4 linked regions of the Astyanax mexicanus genome follow. The protein of the gene in region 3 interacts with the protein of the main gene of each other region in a pairwise test. Links are inferred from orthologs where the notes say so. Each region holds a gene or a part of one and is shown on either strand. Other genes may lie near its edges. The genes, in order: hddc3, dctn2, ccdc172 and fam13c.

Region 1 (7,448 bases), on a different chromosome or scaffold from region 3:
AAAACAACTGACAACAATACACAATAATACCTCAATACAGGATGAGTGTTTAATCAAAACAGATTATATTATACAGCTGATCAACAATCAAAATCATGTGTAATTTGATTAACTATTAAACAACACAAAAAGATATTTTGAATCGAGACATTAGTTAAAAAAATAATGACTATTGTAATGATTATTAATGATTTATCTCGTGTCAATTAATAATTAGGAGAGGGCATTATGATATCAGAATTATACAGTTTTTTTTATGTTGAGATTTGGTCGATATCTGAAACATATATATTTGCTGATTTATTTATTGTTCGCTGGAAAAAATCCAAACAACACTGGCTGTGCTACTTTTATAATTCATTGATTTAAGCTCATTTTTATTATTTTAATTAGTTTCAGCAGCTTTATTACTGTATTTAATCTGATTATTTAATAAAGATTATTTAAAGCTGTGAACAGTCTTTGTAAAAAACAGTTTGATAAATAATGATGTAAAACCTTAAAACCTGACCTCTGAACCTCCACTGAACACAATCAGCCGACATCAGTAAAACATTACCAGAAAATTCTCTCTGAAGAACTCAGGAAGCTCCAGACTTATGATGTCATCATCCAGCGGGAGGAGATAAAAAGCCCATTCATCACACGTCACATCTGCAAAAAATAACATCAAATAAAACGAGTAATTCAGTGTTTAATCTTCTGTTTATTTGAGGGTACATCTGAGGTGAATTTAGAGCACTTACCCCCGAACACCCCCTGCTCCTCCAGAACCGCCTCACACACGTAGAACTGCAGAACATCACATTAGAATATTCACCATTTTCACATCTTAACACGATTAATCCCAGCCGCGATCATGTGACCAATCACTGCAGCTTCATCAGTGAACACGCTCGGAGGAGAGCACTAAACACCAGTTCTGCTGCAGCAGCTAACAGCGCAACATTATACTGTATAAATTCTCTTAGTGGGTTTAGTGTTGTGTTTAAGCCCCGCCTCCACTAGTGTTGCACTCTGGGGTTAGATCCCACTATTCTAATTGGATAAAATCTCAACTTTTAATTAAGATAACTGTTCTACATTTCAGCTAACATTAAACAATCCCCCTGATTACAGTATCTCATTATACTGTGTTATATTGAATTATAAGCCCTAAATTATAAATATAAGATATGAAATATTATCTCTTACCTTCTGAGGGGTAAATATGATCTTATATCTTCTCAATCTTCCAGCTGCCTTATCCAGGTTAACTACATCTGCAAACATTCAAATTAAATAGTAATAATATTAATATTAATATTACTGCTAATGTTTATTTATCTCTACAGAACTGCTGTTTAAAGTGAATTCAGATCAAACCTGAGATCCATTTTACTGTCTGTATCCGAGGTCGTATCAAAAAGCAGAGCCTAAAAACAGAAAATACTGTATTAATAAATCAGATATTAATGAATTTATTCTTTAAAATGCAGAATTAAACTCACTGATCTGCAGTGCTGACGATCGGCTTCAGCTCCACTTTATATAATTTATCCACTTCATGTTGCTGAAAAAGAAAAAGACAAATGTAATGATTTAAACTCCGCCCCCTGAACTGTACTGAACCTGTATGAGTAGGGGGTTGAGTATTGAGGGGTTGAGTATTGAGGGGTTGCGTATTGGGGGGTTGAGTATTGGGGGGTTGCGTATTGGGGGGTTGAGTATTGGGGGGTTGAGTATTGAGGGGTTGATTATAATGGGGTTGAGTATTGAGTGGGTTGAGTATTGAGGGGGTTGTGTATTGAGTGGATTGAGTATTGAGTGGTTGAGTATTGAGGGGTTAAGTATTGAGGGGTTGAGTACTGAGGGGTTGAGTATTGAGTGGGTTGATTATTGAGGGGTTGAGTATTAAGGGGTTGATTATTGAGTGGGTTGAGTATTGAGGGGTTGAGTATTGAGGGGTTGAGTATAATGGGGTTGAGTATTGAGTGTGTTGAGTATTGAGGGGGTTGTGTATTGAGTGGATTGAGTATTGAGTGGTTGAGTATTGAGGGGTTAAGTATTGAGGGGTTGAGTACTGAGGGGTTGAGTATTGAGGAGGTTGAGTATTGTAGGGGTTGAGTATTGATGGGGTTGAGTATTGAGGGGTTGAGTATTGAGGGGTTGAGTATTGGTGATGGTGTGTTTACCTTTAGCGTGGTGACGTTGGCTATTCGGTCGAGTGGACTCATCAGATCAGCATCGATAAACAAGTCCTTCCTCCCAGGCAGCTATAAAACAAACACACCATCAGCTCCACCCACCGCCCCGCCCACAGCACCATTAGCACCGCCCACAGCTCCGCCCACATCATCACCAGCACCGCCCACAACTCCGGCCACAGCACCATCAGCACTGCCCACAGCTATACTGGTTATACTGGGTTTATACTGGTTATACTGGGTTTAAACTGGTTATACTGGGTTTAAACTGGTTATACTGGGTTTATACTGGTTATACTGGGTTTATATTGGGTTTAAACTGGTTATACTGGGTTTAAACTGGTTATACTGGGTTTAAACTGGTTATACTGGGTTTAAACTGGTTATACTGGTTATACTGGGTTTAAACTGGTTATACTGGGTTTATACTGGTTATACTGGGTTTAAACTGGTTATACTGGGTTTATATTGGGTTTAAACTGGTTATACTGGGTTTAAACTGGTTATACTGGGTTTAAACTGGTTATACTGGGTTTAAACTGGTTATACTGGGTTTATACTGGTTATACTGGGTTTAAACTGGTTATACTGGGTTTAAACTGGTTATACTGGTTATACTGGGTTTAAACTGGTTATACTGGGTTTAAACTGGTTATACTGGGTTTAAACTGGTTATACTGGGTTTAAACTGGTTATACTGGGTTTATACTGGTTATACTGGGTTTAAACTGGTTATACTGGGTTTAAACTGGTTATACTGGGTTTAAACTGGTTATACTGGGTTTAAACTGGTTATACTGGGTTTAAACTGGTTATACTGGGTTTATACTGGTTATACTGGGTTTAAACTGGTTATACTGGGTTTAAACTGGTTATACTGGGTTTAAACTGGTTATACTGGGTTTAAACTGGTTATACTGGTTATACTGGTTATACTGGGTTTAAACTGGTTATACTGGTTATACTGGGTTTAAACTGGTTATACTGGTTATACTGGTTATACTGGGTTTATACTGGTTATACTGGTTATACTGGGTTTAAACTGGTTATACTGGGTTTAAACTGGTTATACTGGGTTTATACTGGTTATACTGGTTACCTGTTCCAGCAGGTAGATGAGCTGGTCCCGGGCCAGTCTCTTCAGCAGGGAAAAGTCCGGAAGCTCCGGAGCGTCTCTCCTCCCTGACTGAGCCATCAGACATCCAGCACAGCGCCCCCTCACTGCAGCCGCCTGCATTACATACATCAATTACATCAATTACATCAACAACATAATCACATCAATAACAGTAATTACATCAATTACATCAATAACAGTAATTACATAGTTACATCAATAACAGTAATTACATAAATTACATCAACAACATCAATTACATCAATAACATCAATTACATCAACAACATCAATTACATCAATTACATCAAGACAGCATTTACACAAATGTAATTTAACGGCTCACAGACAGAACACAGCAGTGCTAAAGCGCGAGACTCATAATAATATAAAAATTAAGACAAACACAGAAATATAAACATCTCTCTTTACTGCAGAAACTGACAGATGGATTTAGCGGCATATCCGGATTTTTTGGAACATTTTCTCGATTTTATCCATAATTAATCACATTATCCATCTGATGAAAGATATTATATGTAAATGTAATTATCTGAAGCTTTTAAATCCTAATAAATCTAAAATATTAAATCTAAAATATTATACATAACATACAGCAGCTGCCTCACCTCCTCCCCGTTTCCGGAAGAAATGGAATTCAGAGCAGTTTGTTTCCGCACGGACCCGTTACAGCGGCGCACACTGCAGAACAGAGATCCTATAGCGAGGAGAGGAGTCACTGCGGAGTGTTCAGGGTCTGTCTGACACTAGAGGGCGCTCCTGAGGGAGTCCGATATTAATAGATTATTATGGGTCAACTGAGCAAAAAACAGAGTTCATAAAAGTTTAAATTTTTTATACTGAAACACAGAACAATTTCACAAGTTTCAGCATCGATAACATAATTTTTAAGGTTATGTCTTTTATTGGTGCTCTGACTGCAACTCGAGCAACAGCTCACTAATCAATCAGCTCACAGTAGCAGCACTGCAGCGCCTAAAACCTGTTTACTGCATAAATAAACTAAAGTATACAGTAACGATGTAAAGTACATTATTCTGCTGTATACAATTATATAAATTAAGTAATTATTCACACCCCCCCCCCGGGCTCCCTCTATTGGTGCGCAGGGATTTCCTGTTATACCGGAAGTGAGCGGTCTCGCTATAAATCAGCTTTAGCAGAAACAGCAGCGCCTCAGAGGAGCTAAAAATAATCACAGATTTAACTTAATAAAATAAAACTTAATAAACCTTTAATAATCCGAATCACAGCAGGAGTATAATCTGTAACAGGTGAGTGATTTTACTGAGTTTATTTCTCGGTCTAGTTTCTCATGTAATAATAGTTAATGGTTCCGAGATTTAAACTGATTTATTTATTTTATTATTTTACACACTTTTATTTTTTAACTGATTTAACCGCAGAATAAAAACCGCTTTTTATTCTGTTTAACCGCTGATAATCTGGGTTATTTATCTTTCTGAGCTCAGAAACAGAAATCAGTCCTTTAACTAAACTGTAAAATTGATTTATTGTTTATTTTAAAAACAGTTTAAACACAAGTTGTATAGTTAAGTCTGTGAACTAATATTTGTTTAAAGCAGTAAAACTACAGCAGATCTCGTGTAGAAATGCAGTGTATTTCTCATTACAGTAAATTCAGCTATGATTTAAAATCCAGTATAAAGAAGTAGAGATTTACTGACCTGTGGAGATTACTGAGATCAATACTGAGATCAATACTGAGATCAATACTAATATGTAACTTAGTGTTTAATGTATATATTTGTTAAGGCTGATACATAAAGATGTTTAAAATGCAAAAAATTAAACCCAAATTAAATTAGATTTGATTCAGGGTTACAGAATAAAACATTTTAAAGCTGAAATAAATAAAATACTCTTATAGAAAAGGTTAAGAAGCACAGAGTTCTGCTGTTCAGCTCAGTAAACTGAATTAAATTCTGTCACTGTTCACAGAAAAAAAGTGTCTGAAAAATGTTGAAGTTTTAATATTGTTTTATTTTATATTATTTATTTCTAAGTGTAGAAATGAGTTCAGACGCTGTGATTCTGTTGGAGACGATAAACTTCGCTGCGGAGAAACATCGTAATCAACGCCGTAAAGATCCGGAGCAAACTCCGTACATCAACCACCCCATCGGTAACTCACCACCCCGTACACAATAACTCATAATAAAATTAATAATAAAGTTATCAATACATTACATTACACTACTCTACAGTACAGTTTATCAGAGTTTGATTTAGTGTTAGTTACACTTTTCACATCCTGAGATACAGATTAGTGTAAAACTCAGTTAAACTTTTACAGCTTCAGCTCTTCTGAAAGGCTTTCCACAAGGTTTAGGAGTGTGTTTGTGTGTTTATGGGAATTTTTCACCATTCTTCCAGAAGAGTGTTTGTCCAGCTCATCCAGGTCTTTATGGAGTTATGATCTTTATGGTGCTCAGTTATGTTGGAACAGGAAGGGGTCGTCCCCAAACCTCCTCTGGAAGTTGGGAGCATGAAATCTAAAATATCTTGGTCTGTTTAAACATTAAGAATTTCTTTCACTGGGACTAAGGGGCGGAGCCTAACTTCTGAAAAACAACCCCACACCATGATCATAATCCCCCTCAACCAAACTTTAGTCATGTTAAACCAGATCACTCCCAACTCTTTATTTCTATATAAATCACTGATTAATGCTGAAATAATGATGTTGTCTGTTGAATTTGTATAAATACGTTTAATCTACACTCTGATCTTTTTACAGGGGTGGCGCGGATTTTGAGTCATGAAGGCGGAATCACAGATATTGAAGTTTTACAGGCGAGTCCTGATCGATTAAAGTTGTTAAATTAAAACAAAGTTATGTAGCAAAAACGTTTTACAGTATACTGGGTCAACTTGGCCAAAAGATTATATATGTAATATAAACATATATTATTAACACATGTAATATACTGCTTAAAATATATTATTATACAGTACCAGTCAAAACAGAGTGACAGGTAAATGAGATATTAATTAATAACTGAACGGTCTGTTATTCAGGCGGCGCTCCTTCACGATACGGTGGAGGACACGGAGACGACGCTGGAGGAGCTGGAGGCGGCGTTCGGGAGCACGGTGGCGAGGATCGTTCAGGAAGTGACGGATAATAAAGCTCTTCCTAAACTGGAGAGAAAGCGGCAGCAGGTTGAACACGCGCCGAACTGCAGCCGCCAGGCCAAACTCGTCAAACTCGCCGATAAACTCTACAACCTGCGGGACCTGAACCGCTGCACCCCACAGGGTACCCAACCCCAACCCTCACCCCAACCCCAAAACCCTTTATTCCTTTATTTATTCAGTAGTTCTATAATAATTACAGACTGTTTGTGTTTCTCTGTATTTATCTTTATTATTCTCCTCCTAATTCAGAACCCACAGCATAGAAAACCACCACAGAGCAGCTATTATTATTATTATTATTATTATTATTGTAATTATTATTATAATTATTATTATTATTATTGTTGTAATTATTATCATTATTTGGCTGGTTATTCTCAGCACTGCAGTGATTAGCATGGTGGTGGTGTATGAGGTGTTAGTGAGTGTTGAGCTGGTACAGTAAGTGGATCAGATACAGCTGTGCTGCTGGAGTTTTTAAACACCTCAGTATCACTGCAGTGGTCATAATATTCTGCTTGATTGATGTGTAATTATAAGTGTGTGTGTGTGTGTGTATCAGGTTGGACGGCTGAGCGGGTTCAGGAGTACTTCCTGTGGGCGGGGCAGGTGGTGAAAGGACTGCGTGGGACGAATCCGGTTCTGGAGGAAAAACTGCAGCAGCTCTTCACTGAGAGAGGCGTCAAGATCTAACTCTAATTCACCCCTGTACTCATCTATACTCTACTCTATACTCTTTACTCTATACTCTACTCTATACTCTACTCTACTCTATACTCTACTCTATACTCTACTCTATACTCTACTCTACTCTATACTCTACTCTATACTCTTTACTCTATACTCTACTCTACTCTATACTCTACTCTACTCTATACTCTACTCTACTCTACTCTATACTCTACTCTACTCTACTCTATACTCTACTCTATACTCTTTACTCTATACTCTACTCTATACTCT
Region 2 (7,236 bases), on a different chromosome or scaffold from region 3:
GTAACCATACTGTACTGCACTGTCCGGCAGAAAAGCACCATTAGAGGCACAGAAGAAGAACTAAAATCAAGCACATAATTTCAAATCAGAAAGAAATAAAAGTCCACAGTTCTATGACTGATCTTCCCCGATTGAAGAAAAAAAAAGAGATTAAAATTAAGATTAAAACCCATGCAGTCACTTCGTCAGAAAAGGAGGACCTCTTACTTGCACAAACTAGAGTCCAGGGTGGATCAGAACAGGGAGAGTGGGTGGGTGGGGTGTTGTGATGAGGAGGGAAAGTTCTTATTAGGTTAACTGTGTGTCAGGCATAATCACACCTTCAATAAACACATATGAAACATCAAATCAAGCCCTGTGTTGATCACTTACCGACTCAAACTGTGCTTGGTCATCCTCAGGCAACTCGCTGGTCTCATACACATCAGGCTCGTTGAAGGCCTATGGAGAGATTAAACAATCCTATTAATTCTTTAATTCTAAAAACACAATAAGGCCGAATGTTATGAAAAGCAATCTAATTGCCAGAACAAACAAATAATATTCTGAAACACATAAGATATAATGTACATCCAAAAGCATAAAAATAACCCCCCTAATTAGTGAATTTAGCTGATAAGGTGAGAAGGCAACGTAAAAAGTCTTAAAATTGCGCACACAACATAATGTACATCTTGTTTGTATGATCTCTTTTGTCGTTTGGACACTCTAGAGTACATCCACATGAGGCCAAGGTCACCATGCCCTTAAATAGAATTATACAAAACCACCAGCATTGGGATGTGGATATGCAGATCTGGGTTATCAAAAGTGAATTACCTCCATTTAATTTGTTTGTGCAGAGCCTCTGAAGTACCAAGGTTGGAAAAAAATTATATTTAGAGACCTTAAGACTGAAGGAACTATTTATTACATTGAGAAAGAAATACTGAAGCGGTTGATTTAACTGTTAAATAGAGAAAATGATTTGTTAAATTGAACTAATGATTGATTAAATTGGAGGAATTATGGGCTGATGCCGATTTACCCGTTAGAACACATTATAAAGTTACAGAAAGATTAAACACCCCAGTATACCATTTATATACCTTTTATCATCCAACCCACTGTATACAAACAATTAAATAAAATGTTTCATCTGAGCAATTTGTTTTCACATTTATGTCTTCACATTTATTTAAATAGCTAACTGATTCTTATATAGACGGGTTACAGCTGTAACCCCTCTTTTTTTTAACTAACAAGGTAAATAACAATAACAATAGATCTATTGAAATTTAAAAATAAATAAATAGCTTAAATCAACTCATTTTAAAGTAGCATGGCCAGAATCACTTAATTCTTTTCAGGTATACAATAAACACTTCATCTAATATAGTCTGGAAATATTGGTCACATTCTCTGATGCAAATGACAATGAAACTAAAAAAAAATATTGAGCATCCGTAGTTAGTTTTTTTTTTCCGTATGATCCAAAAATAATTACATAATCTGGAGAGAGCATACTCCTCCAATGTCACTAATCAATGCTCTCCTGGCTGAATGCAATCCATCATAATATATTATTTATTTTACATATGGTTAGTTAGCTAGTGTATCTGTACTGTTAAAGTTGGTGTACTGTATGCAAACAATGGAATGTTTCATCTGAGCAATTTGTTTTCACAGTTATTAAGATAGCTAACTGGTTCTTACATTGACTAGTCACAGCTTTAAACCCTCTTTTTTTAATTAACAGGTTAAACAACAATAACAATAGATATATTGAAACTAACAAAAACAAAACGAAATTAGCTTAAATTAATACATTTTAAAGTAGCATGGACAGCATTGCTTAGTTCTTTTCCGGCATACAATAAACTTTATTGTATGAAATATTAATATTAATATGAGCAAATATTAGTATCAATGCTCTCCAGGCTGAATGCAATCAAATCATCACAAAAAGGATCCATCATCCTTCATAATCATCAAACTGAAAACCATTGGACAATTGGCCTTATTGACAGGATGCTTTATTTTTGTTAGCTAACCTATATTTAATGTTTTAATATATAGTTAAGTTAGCTAGCTACTGTAGTTATCTGTCCTGTTGAAGTTGGTGACCTGCCTGGCCGCCGCCCTTTAGACAGCCGCTTCCACAACACTGCCAACAGGGCAACTGCAGGACTGAGAAGCTTTACTTAAAAATCCTGCTGTTTTTAGTAATAAATTTAGAAGTAAATAGCTATAGAGATTTGTTTCGTTGTTTGTTTTATGGCAATAATGAAGAAGCCAGTTAGCTAGCAAGCTAATAAGCTGCTTGACTGAAGCTAAAATGCGTTTACAGCCCTGCCAAAACAATAGCATTCTGGTTAGTTAAGCTAAGCTAACCTAGCTCAAATCTAAACCAAACACTTCCCGGTGATTTTCAATAGGATTTTGTGCACAAAAAATAGCTATATTCACCTATTTAGCTACAAAAGATAACTAGCTGAGGCTGCATTGTCTTCAACCGGCTTTTCAGGGCGGAGTAATAATGGACAGCTAGCAAACGCTAGCTAGATATGTTAGTCAACTAGCCAGCTAAGCTAGGCTAGCTACCAGACGCTCTTTTCTAGCTAACTTCACTTTTTAGAAACACAAAGCTGTGAAATATCGCCCATAACTGCTGCAGCCATGTGCCCCAAAAATATCCACACCCGCAATAAGTCTATCAAAATTAATAATACGAATGCGGCTGGTTAACAGTCCCTTTAGCCACTTAGCTGCTAACGCTAAACGGAACAAGACACCGTTAGCCCGATGCTAACACTGTGCTGGTATTAAATTATAGACACTTACAATGCCTGGTAAATTGGCGTATTTCGGATCTGCCATCGCAACCAAGAAGAGAAACCAGAGCCGCCAGTGAAAAACTCAGATATTCCTGTAAATAATGTCCAGGTTTAAAAAGGGCGTTTATTGATGCAGATAGGGAGAGAACTGAGTCAGCGACCTGCTGCTGACAGAAGCGATAAACCCGCAGCAGTCTCGCGTGAACTGCAGCCAAAACCCACCTCAGTACAGGCACTTCCCAGTTTAACCAGACCACTCACACTAACACCACTTTCCCAGTTTAACCAGGCCACTCACACTAACATTGCCCAGTTTAACCAGGCCACTCACACTAACACTGCCCAGTTTAACCAGACCAGTTCTACACACTGCCCACTTTCCCAGTTTAACCAGGCCACTCACACTAACACCACTTTCCCAGTTTAACTAGGCCACTCACAATAACACTGCCCAGTTTAACCAGACCAGTTCTACACACACACACACACTGCCCACTTTACCAGTTTAACCAGGCCACTCACACTAACACTACCCAGTTTAACCAGACCAGTTCTACACACTGCCCACTTTCCCAGTTTCACCAGGCCACTCACACTAACACTGCCCAGTTTAACCAGACTCATATTATATAGATGTACTACACACAGAGTGATCTATTTTAAGCGTTTATTTATTTGAATCAGTGTCTTAGAAAATGTTAATAATATTTTATGTAACCAATTTGGTAATTTTTGGTACTGGCAGTGTGGGCAGTGTATCAAGTCCTGCTGAAAAATGAAATCCGCATCTTCATAAGTTGTCAGCAGAAGGAAGCATAAAGTGCTGTAAGATTTTTCAGGAAAACACTGCACTGACTTTCAACTTGATAAAACACAGTGGACCAACACCAGCAGAGACATGTCTCTCCAAACCATCATTGATCCAAGCAGCTTGGACTGTGTTTCTCTCCACGCTCCTGTCAGATTCTGGTTCCTTGATTTCCAAATTAAATGCAAAAGTTACTGATGGTCATTGATGGTTTGGAGAGACAGGTCATCTGCTGGTGTTGGTCAAAAGTGTGTACAAGAAACTGAGACGCTATGGACGGAACACTATGGTTAGTTCTTCAATTGTCAAATAATGTTTTAATGTTGTTTTACTATACAATATTACAAATAATATTCACAATCAGAGATTGGACTTTTTTGTGTTATTTAGCAACAACTCCTTTTCGGTGTGTTATTATGTAGGGTAAATCAAAGGTGATTAGGGCATAAAGTGAAAGGGGACAGTTAAGCTATATGGTTCATTTTCTTCTGGTTATAAAAATCCCTAGCTATAAAACCACAAAATATAAATTAACATCTTTAGTATTACAGAAATGGACAATTTGTTTGACAATGTTGTTCTGTCCTAATCAGCCTCTATAGTTTTATATATAGTAGTAACAATAAATAAAACAGTATTGATATTGTTAACTGGCCCAGCACAACTGGGCACACGTATTAGAGGTGCAAACATAGTGGAGTGAAGTTGTATTTAAAGGATAACTCTGGTGTGAAATAGACTTGGGGTGTTGTAAAACATAATAGTGAGTACAAACTTTTGTTGAATAGCCCACCTTTAGCCAATGCTGCCAACAGGCTTACAATGTGAGTGATAGGGGCATAGCATGGCCCATGCAAAGAAATTGCTAATTTTACACATTACCAGCTCAAAGTAGCTCCAATATTCATGTTTTAGCACTGAATAAATTTTGCAATCTGTTCCCCTATCCTACCTATTAGTTGGTGCTTGTCAGTCGACTTCTTGTGACTTAATACAGTTTAATAGACTACCTGTGCACAATCAAAGTTCTCAGTGCCTCATTTTAAATGTCAGGACCCTCAGAATCCTACAGATTAAGTGTGGAGCTACTTTGAGCTTTTTAATGGTGTACAATTAGCAATTGTAAGCATGGTAAGCCTGTTGGGAGCATCGGCTAGAAGCGCTGTATTTGGGAATGCTGGAGGTGAAAGAATGTAAGCTATTTGACAAATGTCCATACTCGTTTTTTCTGTTTCACTACATCCCAAGTCAATTTCATACAGTATTTCTCCTTTAAACTGTAGAGTCTGCTTTCCTTTCCCTTCTTTCCTGCAGTGCTTCAGCTCAAATTTTCATTTTCTATACCTTGGGAATTAGGGCTGGATCATTTGGAGCATCTCCAAGACCAGGTTTGCTGACCACTGCTCTTTTCTGCCACGCGCTACGCTTTTGTTTTCCTCGCTTCTTTTGCTTTCATGTAAGAGGCTTCAGAGCATCAGAGTAGTGGTCCTGATGCGAGCATCATCGCGTCGTCACGACGCCAGGGCACAGGCTCCGCCTCTCGCAGATAAAGGCCAGTCAGCGTGGAGCTGGGCCGAGCGCGTGCGTCCGGACTGCTGCAGCATCACACACCTCTCACTCACCTCACACGCACTGATCTTCAGACTGGAATAGCAGGCAGAGCTGCAGATCGTTCAGGAGTGCAAGCCACCGCGTTGTAATTAGCGCTAAACGCAGGTAGCCTATAACGAGTTTGCGCACAGAGAGGAGGTGTTCTGTTTGGGCTGGATGCTGGAAGACTCCTAAACTGCGCATCTTCATCACATCCAAGCAACTCCTGCGTCGAGTCTGCTTTGAATTGAGCGTCTGCGAGCGCTCTCCACGCCGAGGCTCGCCCGCGTTCACGCAGTTGAGCTACTTTTCCCAAATCGTAGCGCAACGCAGCGCAGCGCAATGGCTGATCCAGGCGCAGAATGCAACATTAAGGTGCTGTGCCGGTTTCGTCCCTTGAATCAATCCGAAATTGTGCGAGGAGACAAATTCCTGCCCGTTTTCCAAGAAAATGACACTGTTATCTTGGGGGTAAGTGGCGGATTCTTAAGTATTTGCTGACTTTTAAAGGGTTTTATGGTTTTATAAGCGGATTTCATTAAGAATGCATGCATACATTGACGCAGAGAGGCTATCAGGCTCTTGGCACTCCCCTCTTACTCTTATCTCTTCCCTAAGAAGTTGCCTGCAATCAATAACCAGCTATAAGTCGTTTAATAAAAACAGCTGCATTCAGTAGGAACTCAGAGTCTAATCTTACCATTTCTTACATATTAGAACCAACCAAAGCATTATGGGCTCATGTTACAGCAGAGTGTTTATTTTAATGACTTTAAAGGTTTGAAAATGCACTTATCTCAGTCATCAAATATCATCATCTATAGCTATAATGATGGGCTGATGATGTGTTAAGTCAGCTGTGTCTTACCCAAGCAAACGCAGAGCGAGAAGATGCCACAAAGAGTGTGAAGAAAAAAAAAGCAATTGGATCAGATTGTTTGGCACTGATTGGCCAGTCTTACACAGCAGGACAGATTCACGTTTTACTGCCAGGATTTCTGAGCAATTTGCTGTGTCAGGTCAGAGTGAAATAGTGCACTTTGTTGTCATACACTGTCAGATAAAAGGTACTGAACAGGTACATTTTTGTTCAGAACAGTACAGACTGTACAAATGTTCAAATCAAATGGGCAACATCATCTCTCAGACCCAAGTGTGTACCATACAATTGAAAAGAAAAACAGTTACAAGCGTATTTAAGTATATATGTGTTTCTTAACTAAAGGTACTGAACGCATAGCCTTGTGGGTACCACCCCAGTGATAGAAAGGGGTAACAACCCTAGTGACAGAAGGGGTACCACCCTAGTGATAGAAGGGGTAACCACCCCGGTTATAGGAGGGTAACCACCCTAGTGATAGGAGTGGTAACCACCCCAGTGACAGAAGGAGTACCACCCTAGTGATAGGAGGGGTAACCACCCCGGTGACAGGAGGGTAACCACCCTGGTGATAGGAGGGGTAACCACCCTAGTGATAGGAGCGGTAAACACCCTGGTGATAGAAGGGGTAACCACCCTAGTGATAGAAGGGGTAACAACCCTAGTGATAGGAGGGGTAACCACCCTAGTGATTGGGGCGGTAACCACCCTAGTGATAGGAGCGGTAACTACCCTGTTGATAGAAGGGGTAACCACCCTAGTGATAGAAGGGGTAACAACCCTGGTGATAGGAGGGGTAACCACCCTAGTAATAGGAGCGGTAACCACCCTGATGATAGAAGGGGTAACAACCCTAGTGATAGGAGGGGTAACCACCCTAGTGATAGGAGGGGTAACCACCCTAGTGATAGGAGGGGTAACAACCCTAGTGATAGGAGGGGTAACCACACTAGTGATAAGAGGAGTACCACCCTAGTGATAGGAGGTATATCCACCCTAGTGATAGGAGGTATATCCGCCCTAGTGATAGGAGGGGTAACCACCCTAGTGATAGGAGGGGTAACAACCCTAGTGATAGGAGGGGTAACCACACTAGTGATAAGAGGAGTACCACCCTAGTGATAGGAGGTATATCCACCCTA
Region 3 (7,770 bases):
AACAACAGATTTGTGGCAATATCCCAGTTTGGCACGCGGGCAGTTATGAGACAATCTGTACTTTACTTTATTTGTGAATGGTTTTAATTAAAATTTTGCCACATGGTATTATCAAAAGGCAAAAAAAAAACAAAGCACTGTAATTTGTGGAGCTTTTCCACTGGTCCATTGGGGTCATTTTTGAAAGTGTTGGTCCATTCACTATGGAATTTAACACAATGTCAAGAAGTTGTTTGAGACCGTGTTATGAAACAATCTGGTATTTACTTTATCTGTGATATCATGGTCATAATGTTTTGGTTCATTAAATATGACTGGCAAAATGTAAGGGAATCCACTGGAGCCATTTCTATTGGTCCATTCATCATTGTACAGAACAAAATTGGAGATTTGGGAGGATTTTTTTGTTTGCATGATAGAGACAATATAGAGACAATAGTTTTACGTAGACAGTTCAAGAGTTATGGTGGTCTTTTATTTAATTTACCTCATTGTTACCCCATTGTTCACTTTCAATGGAAGTCTATGTAAAAAAGATTTCATATTTTGGAGCATTTCCATTGGTCCATTAATCATTTACAATTAATTTCAACATTGTAAAGAACAAAACTGAAATTTCTTGAGTTTTTTGCATGACAGAGACAATATCCCAGAGTTTTACATATACAGTTAAGGAGTTATGGTGGTCTTTCATTTAATTTACCTTAAAGTGTTCATTGCTCACTTTCAATGGAAGTCTATGTAAAAAGATTTTACATTTTTAAGCATTTTCATTGGTACTTTTATACTTTCCAATGAATTTTGACATTGTAAAGAACAAAAATGGTGATTTTGGAGTTTTCTTTCTTTTTTTTCTTTGCATAATAGAGACCGTATCCCAGAGTTTTACATAGACAGTTGCGGTGGTCTTTTAATTGATTTTGATTGTTGTTCCCTGTTCACTTTAAATGGAAGTCTATGTAATAAGATTTAACATTTTGGAGCTTTTTTATTGGTTCACTCAAGATGTAAAGAGCAACTACTAGATTTTCACTGTCAAAAAGTGTAAAACTAAAAACCCCAGAGCCTCAGCACCTAATTGGGACTTTTGAAACAAGAAATGTAGAATTTGGTTAGGAATTTCGCTTTTTAGCAAATAAAAAACACTTTTTGTAACATTTTTAAACGTTAATAAAACTTACCGAGCAGTGGCAGCAGCAGACACAGCGTAGTGAAGATCATTTCGACACGTAAAGGCGATTATTTCTCAGTATTTATTATAATTTCCACACAGTTCTCCGCTCCTGAACTTCAGCTTCAGCTCCTGCCGCCCGCTGCGCTCCTCCGCCCGGGCATCCTCACCGCAGCCTCCCCGCCGAGTACAGTCCTCCGCACCGCTCCGAGGCTCCGACCAAGCCCGGGCTGCTGCCTCTAACTCATGGGCGAGTGGAGAAAAGCACAGGAAAAACTGTATTTATTCAGTATTTTATTGAAAAAAACACTGGAAATAACTGTGAAAATAAAACACGCTCGAGCCCCAAAAACTCCGTATCCAATGAAACCCGCGCTGGAGTGAGCGCGCGGCAGCCGTACTGTGGGTGCTGTTCGCAGCGCAAGTGCGCTCTTTTTTCCGCACCCGTTTTCCGACAGAGCCCGCCCACCTCAAACTGGGATTGGCTAATCGGATTTCGTGTTCTGCTCTTGGATTGGCTACAAGTTACGCGTAGATGCTTGGGGGCTGGTTCTTGGGGCGTGCCAGCCAATCGCAGCATAAAACGGGTAGAAGTAACAGCCAATCGTGGCAAGCTAGGGCGGGGTTTGGCGGAAAACGCGTGGAGAAAATATTACAGCGGGTCCACTGTTTGTAGTGCATATTTTTTTTCTATACATTTTAAAATGCTCTTTCATTAATATTTTTAATATATTTGTATGTCTTAAATCTACGTTGGTAGATTTAACATACACGTTTTGTAATAAAATAGAAGTGGTTCAGATATATCAGCATTTATGTATGAAAAAAAATACAAATTATGTAAAGTTATCTTAAACCCGGACTGAGGTGTTTTAAAGATTTTAAATGAAGCTTGTGGAGTACAGAAAGCCATTTTCGGTCCTGTGTGATTTTTTTTTTAACACGAATGGAAAAGACCTCAAGTCTTATTGCGTTAAGAATGAGAATAAAAACAAGCGGAGGTCGCCCTCTACTGGTGTATTTAGATTTAGATTTAGATCTCTCTCTCTCTCTCTCTCTCTCTCTCTCTCTCTCTTTGTGTGTCTCTCTCTCTCCCTCTGTCTCTCTCTCTATTCCATCATAGGTTTAATATATATATACATATTTCTATACATTTCTATATATTTCTGTATTTACAATATCATATATATATATATATATTTCTTTTCTTTCATGCACTGACATGCCAAAAGTCATAGGATAGTAGTATGTAGAGGTAATTGAAAAGTGTTACTTCAGGCTTGGTAACACCAACAGCTTTCTAAGTTGTTTTACTTTGGTAACTGGTGGTAACTATATTGTGACTTGACTGTGAAAAAAACTGAAATACAAACTATAAACTTGATCACAAAATAAGTAGTTTTACTTACTTGTGAGTGAGCTTGAACACTGGCCAGCATGATCGCAGCAAAGTGGCATTAATTAAATTTTAGAATTCTCTAGCCAGACTCAGAAATCAAATCTGCATTCAATGAAATCCAGTGAGACCCCACACACATATCCCACAGACCGGTGCAGCATTCTTTAGCTTCCATGGAACATGGCAAAAGTCATGGGACACAATAGTAGTTCATGTACCATGACATGTTCCATGTGGCATGTTAGTGGCATGTATTATTAGAATACACTAGAATATGTAATATATATTCAAATTATCAGTCATGGTGTAATACAAACTAAAAGCATATCTCTCTCTCTCTCTCTCTCTCTCTCTCTCGCTCACTTTCACTCGTGTGTGTATGTGTGTGTGTGTGTGTGTGTGTGTCTGTGTGGGGTGTCTGTATTTCGGTGTGGAGGGGATTGGCTCCATTTAATCCCACTCATGCTATCATTAAGTAGTACAAACTGAACTCAGTTAAACACCTATTTGCATATTTAACATACTGAACTTTAACACGGCATGTATAATTTACCCCCCATTGATTTGCATACACCCCGTCCGACTCGCTCCGGAGCAGCTTAATAGTTTAAAACACCGTTTACATCACCGAGTCTATCGACTGCAGGCCTGCAATCAGCTGCCATGTTCCGCAGCTCTTATAAATCAGAGTGTGATTCCATTCAGTTCTAATGAGCGTGAGCGGGGGGTCCGCACGGCCCCACACTTCCCCTCAGGCCGGGGGGTCGAAAAGAAAATGAAGCGATGTGTAATAACCGGACTGATTTGTAACCTTTGATATGGAGCTTCTCGTCATTTCTGCTGGTGATTTAGGAGTGTGTGTTGGGTGAGGATCCTGTTTTAATGGTGAGAAACTGGAATATGATGAGTAAGCAGGTTCGCGCACTGGGCTGAGGATCGTCAGCCGCAGGAAGGTACGCGACATCAATCCTGAGACATATGAAAAGCCTCAATCAATATTTACTATTAATTTTGCAAATGAATGTCAGAGTGATAAAGTCTGGGCCGTAAACGAGCTGCGTTCACACTTTAATGTGCTTCATGGCCCTGGATCAAAACCCTCTTCCCCACAGCGCTCAGGAAATTGGACAAAGTAAAGGATGACGGGACAAATCCTGACGGACCGAACGGCAGAGAATTAAAATTATTGATTGCTGACGGGGCCTACAAACGTCAAACAATACCCGGGCTGGCAGCTCTAATAGCTCTTTGAAGCAGGCCTGTGATGAATGACGGGCGGCTTTGTGGAGGTGGAGAGAAAGTGCCTGTAGTCCTTTACATCACAGAGCTGGAGCGAGAGAGTGTGTACACCACCCTGTTACATTTCTTACAGCACATCAGTTAGTTAACTGTGCTCAGTTCCTTCACGCAGCTGATTCAGGAGATGGCCAGGTGCTGGTCTAACTAAGTAACTGCATTTATGCATTAATGCATTTATAACATAGTATCCTGTATTCTGGCCTCAGGTTACTTTTCTGGTGCTATTAAAACAACCTAATGTACGCATAATTGCACATTAATAATACCTAAATCAATAAAATATAAATAAATAAACTTTTTGGCCAAATAATAAGGAAAGAATGTGAATGTATTTAAGTTAATGTATAAATGCAGTGCATTTATCATATCAACAATATATATTGTTGATATGATAATTATGATAAATGCACTGCTTTTGATGGAATTCCATTATCATTTAAAGTTTAATTTTGAGTGATCATTAATATTGATCACTATTAACATTAATTGATTAATACTGAGTACTAATTACTAGTACTCAAAAAGGGTGCACTAACTAACTTTATAAATATGATTTATCACTATCTATCAAATCACCTGAAGTTGTGATAGAATGTTTTAGAAATAATATTAAATATTATTATTTATTAATATTAATATTAAAATATTACAAGTAATATTAAAATATTTCAGTTTACTACTGTTTAATAATGTTAGTTACATCGTTTGTTCACTGTGTTGTTTGAATAACAGTGACCATTACTGTTACTGCCTGAAAACGGGTGCACTAACTGAAAGTAGGAATTATTAACCAATCGTTGCTTAGAGGAAAGAGTTCTTCCAGCCAATCATAGGAGGAGGCGGGATTTGGCCTTTCTAGCTTTTGTCAGGAAATGGGTGTGAAAAGAAAACACTTCTGTTTAAAGACTGAAGGAAATTAATGCTAAGCTAACTTATAGATAATTAAATTTTGTTAAAATATTACTCTTTATTGGAAATATGAGTCTGGATTCTCTCTTTCAGCAGATTTTACTGACTGAGCAACAAGTGTCAGACAACACTCGCCAGCTCCATGAAGGTATAAACTGTTAAACTGGCTAGATATTTAACTAACTAGCTTAGGCAACTATGTTAGCTAGAGTTAGCTAACCTTAGTAAGTAAACTAATGCTAGCTAGTGGCTAAATTAGTGGCTAACAGATGGCTAACTCCCTGTTAACTGCTAACAAGCTAGTTGGCTAGCTAACCGTTCGGTAGCTCAAGTCTTGTCTCGTTTATTTTGTATTTCACTTCCTTTTAATGATAAGTATTATTATATTATAATATAAAAAGTATTTTTTGCACTATAAGGCAAAGGCGGGATAAAAGGTATTTTATGCGACACTATTAAGAAACAGGGGTGTTGCCATGTTTCCCTTCTAATTCAGCAGGTCCTAAAGGGGTGGTGGGGGGGTAAGGTTAACTAAGTGAAATAAAGCTAAGGTAAGTAAACAAAAGTGTAATTCTAAAAAAAAGGATGTTAATCTACATAGATTTCTCTCCTAAAAAACTGTTTATTTCAGTGAGAAAAGCGCTTATGTTTATTCACAGTTAGCTTAGTTTTCCAGATATCCACTAAGGCGGTTAACTGCTAGTGCTACGGCGAAAGAGCTAGCGCCTAGTGCGGTCAGTGGCTAATGCTAATGCTGCTCAAGCAGTGCTAGCCAGGGTAACAGCAGGCTACAAACCGATAATACTCACCTCTGAACGGCAAAAGAGCTAATGCTTAGTGCAGTTAGCGGCTAATGCTAATACTGCTCCACCCTCAGTGCTGGAGAACTAAACTGAAACTCTTTTATAACATTGTACTTCTATTTTTTCCAACTAGTTAAAGCTGCTATCATCAAGACTGAGGAGAAAATAAAGTCTTTCACTGAAAAGCTGGAACACGCACATATTGAGCTGAATGAAAAGGTAAGATCCACTTTTATATAATATAATAATTAATTTTTTTATTTAATAAAACTCTTTTTGTAATTGATTCTGATGTTTAGCAAAATTCTATGTAAGGCTTATATTTATGGAGAATTTCCTGTTATAGGAACAATTGGTTTTGTGAATTAAACATTTTAATGTATTCGGAAGACTTTATTAAAGATGAGGATCAACTACAGGCAGCGCTGCAAAATCAATTTCTAATTTCCGCTGGATTATAATTAGCTCAGTTAGCTCTTTGAAAAACATTGTACATCATGTTTCGAGTGGAAATATACTCAATCAGATGTGTTAACCCATCGTGCACAAAGCATAAAACACAACCTGAGTTAGTATTTTCCTATTGGATCAGTAATTAGTTAACGACTTTATTCCTTAATTACCTCTTTGACACCCTGCAGACAGACAGAGCTTTCTAAATGGTGAAGTAAATGTGTGCAATACAGTTGTCACGTCTTAGCCCTGTCTCATGTCTCTGTGTGTCTTCCCCACGTGACCTGTGCCTCTCTGTGTCTCCTGTCAGTAGATTTCCACCATGTGTTTCTCATTTGTAGCTCCGCCCCTTCCCCAGGTGTTTCCAATTCTAGTGTGTTTTATGTTACTATAAATAGCCCTCCTCTGCCACCTTGTCCTCCGTCGGTCTTTGCACCTTCCTCTGTTGTTTTTTTGTCTTCTCGTGTTTTCTAGCCTAGCCCTCGTTTTCTTAGCTTTAGCCCTTGTCCTTTGTTTATCTCTAGTTTCTTGTTTATTTCCGTGTTCCCTAGTTCCTTGTACATACCCCTGCTTTGTGTTGATTCCTAGTTTAGCTCCTTGTATATATTCCCTGTCTGTTTATCATTATTATTATCTCTAGTTTGTTTGTTTTAGTTCTCTGGTTCCTCTCGTTTGTTTCTGGTTATTTTCAGTCATTTAGTTTATTCCATAGTTCCTTGTATGTATCTCCCTGTTTTATGTTTAAGTGTTTACTTGTTTCTCGTTTTCTTGTTATTTATTTATTAAATTATTATTTATTTTCACCCTACCTGCACTTGTGTCCGCCTCCTCGTCTCCCTGCCTGGGTCATCCGTGACAACAGTGGGAGGCGACGGATGGATATTATTATTTGAGGCTATTATTGAGTTTTCATTACTAATAATCACTCTGACACAAAATCAATTTAACATAACAAAGCTGGAAAAAATCAATGTAACGTAATGGGAATGCATCAGTATGGGGATTGTGAATACCAGTATCCTGTATGTCCATTGTACAGTACATATCTGTGGATGCCAATACTTTCACGTGGATTTGTTAAATTGAGACCAGAATCAGCGAGATTTAAACAGATATTACATAATGAGAAACATAATGTGAAACAGGTTTGAAAAATATTGTAATGTAACAGAGAAATGTAAGCTCATATAAAAAAAATACTTTTGCAAACAAGTTTGACATTACAGAGCATTATAGAGAAATGTTTCCTAAAATCAATCCAGTTCTGTTTCCCAAAGCATTTCGCAGAGCAAAACTTAACAAACAAGTTCAAAGAACATCCTTCACTATTATGTTATTCACTATTATGCCCAAAAATGTAGAAATGTGTTGAAATTAATATCATTATACATCTCTAATACTCTGAAATTCAAATAACAATGACACACCGTCTAATTCAACATGTTTTCTTTTTATGATTTTTTTACATTGTAAAAAGTATTTTCTAAACAAACCAGAATATGTTTTTTAACTTTAGATTCTTCTTAGTAGCCACATTTATTTGTCCTGCTTTGAGGACAGATCTCAGGAGTTCCTGAGTTTTACTGTTCACAGCATAGTTCCATATGTATCCCTTAATAGGTTTCACGTCTTTAATATTAATGTACAATGTAGAAAAAAAATAAATAAATAAAAATGATGACTGGTAGTGTACATATAAAATTAACTAGCTCAAAACTCAACAATGTCAACCTAAA
Region 4 (7,642 bases), on a different chromosome or scaffold from region 3:
GTTTCATTTTTTTTTACAATTGCTAATGTCTTCCCTACAGCTTCACATTTTTACTGACCGAGGAGACGGATGACCCTCAGATACCATGCAAGGTAAAGAGCCTACACACACATCTTTTTAATTATGCAATTAGGTTTTATTAAAACATTACATGTGCAAACGTACTAATGAGTAATAATCACAATATACATTACACAAAAGTGATGGGATAGCATTTTGTAAACTGATCATAAAGTGCCTCCCCTTGTACCTACACTGACCTAAACGTATACCCACAACACTTATATTATATTTACACTTAAAGTACACTGCAACTGTATTTTTTTTTACAGTAAATTCATCCAGTAAATAATTGTTTAACGATGTCCTGTTGTAAGAACCCTAAGAACACAGCTGCCACCTGTATATATAGTGGCATGAAAAAGTATTTGACCCCCTACAGATTTCTTTTATTTTTGTTTTTTTGTCATACTGATATTTTTCCAATTATAAAATAAACTTTAATGTCAGATAAATATAACCAGAATAAATATAAAAAGCACAAATCAATCTAGCTCTGTGGGGAAAAAAAGTGTTTGCCCCCTAAACCTTATAACTTGGTTGCAATCAAGCTTTACTGATAACTGGCAGTGAGTCTTTCACATCTCTGTGTTTTTTTGTTATTTTTTGTGTCATTTTGTTTCACTCTTCTTTACAGAATTGTTTTAATTCAGACACATTGGAAGGTTTTTGAGCATAAATGTCCTGTTTAAGATCATCTTTAGCATCTCAATCAGACTTTGACTAGGCCACTCCTAAACCTTTATTTTGTTTTTAAAAGCCATTCAGCCATATTCTATTCGTGAATAATAGCTCTCACTGTGGTCTGCTGGAGTCCCAAAGCTTCAGAATGACTTTATATTTTTTCCAGACTGATAGATGATCAATGACTTTGTTTTCTCATCTGTTTTTGAATTTCTTTAGATCGGGGCATAATGTGTTGTTTTTGAGTTTTTTTTTCTGCTTCATGTTATCAGACAGGTTCTATTGAAGTGATTTCTTAATTTTACAGGCCTGGTTGTAGTTAGTAGTGAAAATACACAGCTTTCAGAAAGGGTGATTAATCACAGTTAATTTATGGATGGGGGGATGCAAACACTTTTTTACAAACGGTTAAATTGGTTTGGATAGTTTATTTCCTTTAATACATGAAATCATAATTTAAAAAAGTGCTTTTTGTATGATATTGTTTTTAATTTTACTACTGTATACCAGTATAAGAAAAAAGGGAAAAACGAGTGGTTACACTGTGAAAAATTATTTTACAGTAAGTTAACAGCAAAAGAAAATTCCAATAAAGGATTGTACAATTCTGTTTGAGTGTGTATATCTGTGCAGTGTGAAGCTGCTTTTACACAGAATGCTTAAAATGTGCTGCTGCTCTTTTACAGTGTTTTCAATGGGACGTGCAGTGCGGCTGCGAGCAGTGAATGCAGCACAGACCAAGCTTAGTGTAAACAACTTGGAGCAGCAGAGACAGCCTTAGATCATAGCAGTATATTATTTGACTAATATATCAGATTAAACTGTGCCTTATCAGCAGTTAATTCAATTAAAAATAAGTATATTTGATAGCTGGGTTGGATCGAGACCAGATCACGTTCTCACCACAAATGAACCACTCCAGAAAAACAATCTGCATATTGGGCGGGGCAGATTACGGCAGAAGTTGGAGTCCAATTTAGTGGCTTATTTAATTAATTGAGTTAAAAAAATAATAACGCCTTATTGATGCCAAATTAATATTGTGCATTAAGGCTTTAATATGTTTGAAGCAACAATTTGCTCTCACTTTGTTTGGGTAGAGTTTATTTACCAGTATTTTGGGTAAATATGATCTAAACTGAACAGTTAAGACAATCAATCTATTGTTTCTTAATATGTTACCCAAAAGACCCCTGACATGCTTTATTTGCGTAATGGTAGGGGTGAAACGATTAATCGAGTGAATTGAGTAACTCGATTAAAAAAAAAAGATTGATACATTTTCTGTGCCTCGAGTAGTCGTTTAATTAATTTTAAAACTCAAAGCCCGGAATTTAGCACGGACTTTTAATGTGAAAAAGCGCTTAGCATTATGTCACCCACACACAGGACGCAGGTGGAGAAGATGGAAGTTTTTGGAAATCAATAAGATTTCCATCAGTGTAGCTTAATAACATAACGACAGCGCTGTTTAGTATTAGAAATACTGTCTAATGTGTGTGGTTAGTCTATTAGAACAAATGTAAGTATTAAAAATTAAAATAATTTAGTTTAAGGGCGGCACGGTGGCGCAGTGGGTAGCACTTCCGCCTCACAGCAAGACGGCCTGGGTTCGATTCCCGGCTGGGGCGACCCTGGTCTTTCTGTGTGGAGTTTGCACGTTCTCCCCGTGTCTGCGTGGGTTTCCTCCGGGTTCCTCCGGTTTCCTCCCACAGTCCAAAGACGGCACGTTCAGGCTAACTGGAACTTGATTGAAATTGCCCCTTAGGTGTGAGTGTGTGAGTGAATGTGTCTGTTTGTCTGTCTGTGTCCGTCTGCCCTGCGATGGATTGGTGGCCTGTCCAGGGTGTATCCTGCCTTCCGCCCGATGCCTGCTGGGATAGGCTCCAGCCCCCCCCCCCCAGCGACCCTTCACGGATTAAGCGGTTGACGATGAGATGAGAGATAATTTAGTTTAAATAATTTAACTTAATTTATTTAATTATTATTATTATTTTTTTTTTTTTAAATTGCTTTTTAGGCAAGCAAATATATTTTATCCGATTACTCGATTAATTGTATCGATTTTTTAGTAGAGTACTCGATTACTAAAATAATCGATAGCTGCAGCCCTACATAATGGATGCCCACCTCCTCTACTCACCCCCTTAACTCACCACCTGTATGGACTCTTGCCTATCAGGGCTGCTTTCTCTTGGGTATTCAGTTATATTTTATTGAATGGTTTACTGCCCAGTCACAGTGTTGTAGGCTATAAGTACAAGTTGTCATTTTCTTACTGTAATATTTACAAGAAACTATTTATAGTGCAGAAATCCTAAATGTACACTCTCTACAGTTGCACTGTTCCGTTTTCTTACACTTTCGTAACGTGTGGGGACACACCCCCACATACAGCCATGAATACTCCTCTGCTGTAAGGAGCCAGTTCCTGCGTGTGTGTCTGTGTTGCAGGAGGACGCATCCTGTGTGCACAAGCATGCAGTCTTTACCTGAGAGAGAGAGAGAGAGAGAGAGACTGGGAGAGAGAGAGAGAGAGAGAGAGAGAGAGAGAAAGAGAGAGGAGGGGTGGAAGGAATAAATAGGAGAGGAGGATGAGTCATCTCCAGTGAAGTGAACACAACATCAGCCTACTGCTCCAGAGGCCAGCAGACCCAGTTAGTCCAAGTGAGAGAGAGTGAATGAGAGAGAGAGAGAGAGATGGTGGTTAAGAAGAGGATAAGAGAGATACAGAGATGATGCCAAAGAGATCATTAGAGAAAGAGAGAAAGATGCTGAGAGAGATGAAACGGAGCATCTCACAAAGACACAACTTCACAAACATGACAACGTCAGAACACATGTCTTCTTCTGACGTTAGAGTGTGCGAGTGTGTGTGTGTTTGTGTTCTAGAGCCTCTCTGACTGATGCTGATGCTGATACTAATGTTACTGGTACTAATGCTAATGCTGGTGTACTGATGCTGCTGCTAGTACTTATGCTGCTGCTGGTACTGATGCTGCTGCTGGTACTGATGCTGCTGCTAGTACCAATGCTGCTGCTGGTACTGATGCTAATGCTAGTACTAATGCTGCTGCTGGTACTGATGCTAATGCTAGTACTAATGCTGCTGCTGGTACTGATGCTAATGCTGGTACTGATGCTGCTGCTAGTACTAATACGGCTGCTGGTACTGATGCTGCTGCTGGTACTAATGCTGCTGCTGGTACTGATGCTGCTGTTGGTACAAATGCTGCTGCTGGTACTGATGCTGCTGCTGGTACTGATGCTGCTGCTAGTACCAATGCTGCTGCTGGTACTGATGCTGCTGGTACTGATGCTGCTGCTGGTACTGATGCTGCTGCTGATACTGATGCTGCTGCTAGTACCAATGCTGCTGCTGGTACTGATGCTAATGCTAGTACTAATGCTGCTGCTGGTACTGATGCTAATGCTAGTACTAATGCTGCTGCTGGTACTGATGCTAATGCTGGTACTGATGCTGCTGCTAGTACTAATACGGCTGCTGGTACTAATGCTGCTGCTGGTACTGATGCTGCTGTTGGTACAAATGCTGCTGCTGGTACTGATGCTGCTGCTGGTACTGATGCTACTGCTGGTACTGATGCTACTGCTGGTACTGATGCTGCTGGCACTGATGCTGCTGGTACTGATGCTGCTGGTACTGATGCTGATGCTACTGGTACTGATGCTGCTGGTACTGATGCTGATGCTACTGGTACTGATGCTGCTGGTACTGGTGCTGCTGCTGCAGCTGGTACAGATGCTGCTACTGGTGCTGATGCTGGCAGCTGTACTTTCCGCCTCCTCCTGTGTTTTTATGAATGGATGTGAGGGGAGGGGCGCATTGACGTCAGTGCGTGCGTGCGCATGCAAGCGAGTGAGCACGCTCAGTGAGATCCTCCTCAATACCCCACCCGCCCTCCTTCTCCAACACCCCAAACCCCCTTACCATGATGACACACACACCCCCGGATGCGGGAAAATCCTGAGAAAGCCCCCACCCTCTCTCTATCCTTTTTTTCCCCACGCCTTCACCCATCCATCCGCCCATTCTTCCATCCATATTTCGGTCCTCTACGTGTGCGTGTGCACCCCACCCCGCCCCTTCATCCTACTGCTGACGCTACAACCCCCCTCCCCTCAGCACAGGCACACACCCCTTTCTCTCTCTCTCTCTCTCTCTCTCTCTCTCTCTCTTTCTGTCTTTCGTTTTTCCCACCACTCCTCCACCTCCAGGAGGGATATGAATAATCCATGCGCGCGGGAAGAAGCTGCCGCAGCGAGGAGATCGGCGCACGTACACCGACAGGCACACACACACGCAAACGCGGGCAGGCAGGCAGGCGCACGCGCGACTCTGCTGCCTGCTGAATCTGCAGCGGCACCCGGCTCCATCATCCCTTCCTCCCTTTTTTCTCGTCCTCTGCCATGTTCTGCTTCTGCCTGCAGGGCTCGCTCCTAAAGCTCCAGGCTCTGGAGGAGGACTCCAGCCCACCTCTGGGACGCTCGCCCGAAGACAGCCCACCCGGCCTGGGCTTTAGAGAGGACCCCCAGACCCCCTCGCGCGCCAGCCTGAGAGAGGACATTAGCCCGCAAGGTAGGTTAACAAACACACATACACATGTACACACACACACAGCAGGTGGAAGGGTGGTAGGCAGGTGTGGTGGTTGTAACGCGTGGGTTGCAAGCTTGGGTTGCACGAGGGAAAATAATCGTTAACGCATTGTTAATGCAATAAAGCATGCTGTGTTATTTTTGCAGGGATGCAAATCAGTCACACACGTGGAATTCTATTCCTCTATACGTACACATGGATGCATTTTAGCTGCTGTTGTATGTAACGCATCGATTCCCACAGGTTTCAGTGGCTTTCAATGGATGCATCATGCTGCACAACTGTAATGTAGGCTACCTTTGACGTCAGTGTGTGCGCTGATTCATATGGCAGAGTCGGTGTAGCGTCAGACCCTAGTGATGGAATGGATAAATATGTATACGTTACATGTCTGTTGAATTTAATGATCGATAATTTGTATGTATATTTGCATGTGTGCATCATTGGCATAAGGTTGAGTTAATGGCTCAATGAATGAATGCATGCATACCTGTATTATAACAGTGATTCATGTGCGATTGAGACATTCAGTTGTCATTCAAGAATCGGTTATCTGCATGAAGCATGTGAATGAATGGATTAATTTAAATGAATGGTTGATTTAATAAATGAAGAAAGGAAGAGAGAGAGAGACAGATAGCAGGATAGAGAGCTGAGAATGGGGTTTGTGGGACGTGGCTGAGACTCTGAGGCTGCTTCTGGAAGGTAAAAGGGGGAGGGACTGCTTTGCTTTTGTTTTGCTTGTGCTTTTTTGGCACCATGCAGGCGTCTATTAATAACGCAGAGAGTTTGGACAGAGATGCAGACTGCCCACACCTCCTCCCAGCACGACTCGAGCTCACACTGACACACACACAGGTTTCTATTCCATTGCTGTCTCTGTTTAAGTATTTCCATGCACCTAATCTACTCTAATCAAGAGCAGATTTTGAAGGTTGCTGGATTCAGATGGTCCAAGCTGCTCATTTTTGACGGTCAAGGTGGTTCAAAAAACTGGTCATCCAGGCAAAACATGAACTAAACCCTATAGTGATAAGTAAGCTGGTTAACAGCTCTTGATAGGCAGATTGTCCAGGGTTCTTGCACAATTTTAAAAGTCAAATTTAATGCTTTTTAAAACCTTTTTAAGACCTTGATAAATATAATTTTAGAACCCAAAAGGCAGTAATCATTTCTTTGGGAGAAAATCATTTATTTTCAATTTTGTGATGCAGAACAGAGCAAACATAACATAATTTACTTGAGCTCTCTTTAGTAGCTTTCTGGACAAATGAAAAAAAAAAAAGATCAATTAAATTGTAGTGATGTCTATAATACTAATACTACTACTAACACCATCGCTGCTTCTACAACTACAACTACTAATAATTTTGGTTTGTACCCCGGGTAAGGGTACTTACTATGGACAAATGAAGTCTCCACCTGAGTGTTCCAGAATTAGAACTTATTTAGACCTTCCAGTTAGCTAGCTCGCTGCTAATGTATGTATGCTACCTAGCCCGCAGCTAAAGTTAGCTAGCTCTCCCCTTACCTTATTTCTTTCCCTGGTAGCGTTAGCTATCTGGCCGCTAAAGTTAATGTGTTAGCTATCTCACTGCTAACCTTAATTCTCTTTCCGGCAGCTTAGCTAACTCGCCGGTAAGGTTAGTATGTTAGCTAGCTCAACGCTAACCTTAGTTCTCTCCTCGGTGACGTAGCTAGCTCGCTGCTAACGTTACTATGCTAGCTAACTCGCCGCTAATTTTAACTAGCTTTCCACTAACGGCAGTCTTTAGATGTTCATGGTCGGGCACTGTGTTTTTCCACCGACAATAAACGCATCATCTGAAAATGTAATACCTACAGCAGATTTCCAGTAAATTTATTTACTTGGATTTTAATTCAAGACATTTTAAGACATTTTAAGGACCCTGTGGAACTGTATGTTGTATTTTTTAGTTGTTTTTTGATCATATTACTATATGCTGTTCATGTAGGTCTACCACCATGGTCAAGCTTGGCTATACTCTTTAACTGGCTTAGTTAAATTTTAAACATGTGTCTAGACCAGCCATAAAAGTAAACCATCAAAATCATAAGGTATTTTAGTAAAGAGATAAACTGGTCAACCATGTTAACCATCTTGACCAACTTGAGCTGGCCATGCTGCTTTTTTTTCAGCGAGTAATAATCACCAAAATTAAGTGGTGAACTAAAATGTACTGAATTTGATGGTTTAGATGATCTTCAACCATGATTAACCCTTACCAAGCTAAACACCAGTAACTGGTTGTCCAG

What was found.
Region 1: the proteins of ccdc172 (region 3) and hddc3 interact in binary tests that used the Homo sapiens proteins (3 or more experiments, as listed by UniProt). The two-hybrid records come from large-scale screens. The link is inferred for Astyanax mexicanus from reciprocal best matches to the Homo sapiens genes CCDC172 and HDDC3.
Region 2: the proteins of ccdc172 (region 3) and dctn2 interact in binary tests that used the Homo sapiens proteins (3 or more experiments, as listed by UniProt). The two-hybrid records come from large-scale screens. The link is inferred for Astyanax mexicanus from reciprocal best matches to the Homo sapiens genes CCDC172 and DCTN2.
Region 4: the proteins of ccdc172 (region 3) and fam13c interact in binary tests that used the Homo sapiens proteins (3 or more experiments, as listed by UniProt). The two-hybrid records come from large-scale screens. The link is inferred for Astyanax mexicanus from reciprocal best matches to the Homo sapiens genes CCDC172 and FAM13C.

Annotation. Positions count from the first base shown.
Region 1 is NC_064430.1:136,548-143,995, reverse strand, and holds the start of hddc3 (guanosine-3',5'-bis(diphosphate) 3'-pyrophosphohydrolase MESH1), read left to right. Parts: upstream 1-4,444; 5' UTR 4,445-4,597; intron 4,598-5,350; exon of another isoform or gene 5,351-5,355; 5' UTR 5,356-5,357; coding exon 5,358-5,469; intron 5,470-6,084; coding exon 6,085-6,140; intron 6,141-6,365; coding exon 6,366-6,606; intron 6,607-7,047; coding exon 7,048-7,178; 3' UTR 7,179-7,448. Other genes in the region: vps33b (vacuolar protein sorting-associated protein 33B), read right to left, coding at 560-654, 747-792, 1,195-1,262, 1,366-1,415, 1,491-1,552, 2,175-2,255, 3,286-3,381. UniProt on the Homo sapiens protein: ppGpp hydrolyzing enzyme involved in starvation response.
Region 2 is NC_064412.1:9,109,565-9,116,800, reverse strand, and holds the start of dctn2 (dynactin subunit 2), read right to left. Parts: upstream 3,024-7,236; 5' UTR 2,860-3,023; coding exon 2,824-2,859; intron 442-2,823; coding exon 373-441; intron 1-372. Other genes in the region: kif5ab (kinesin heavy chain), read left to right, coding at 5,557-5,685. UniProt on the Homo sapiens protein: Part of the dynactin complex that activates the molecular motor dynein for ultra-processive transport along microtubules. In the dynactin soulder domain, binds the ACTR1A filament and acts as a molecular ruler to determine the length.
Region 3 is NC_064414.1:5,318,913-5,326,682, forward strand, and holds the start of ccdc172 (coiled-coil domain-containing protein 172), read left to right. Parts: upstream 1-4,751; 5' UTR 4,752-4,847; coding exon 4,848-4,926; intron 4,927-5,714; coding exon 5,715-5,800; intron 5,801-7,770. Other genes in the region: gfra1a (GDNF family receptor alpha-1a), read right to left, coding at 1,182-1,221.
Region 4 is NC_064422.1:5,001,417-5,009,058, forward strand, and holds the start of fam13c (protein FAM13C), read left to right. Parts: upstream 1-4,630; 5' UTR 4,631-5,175; coding exon 5,176-5,344; intron 5,345-7,642.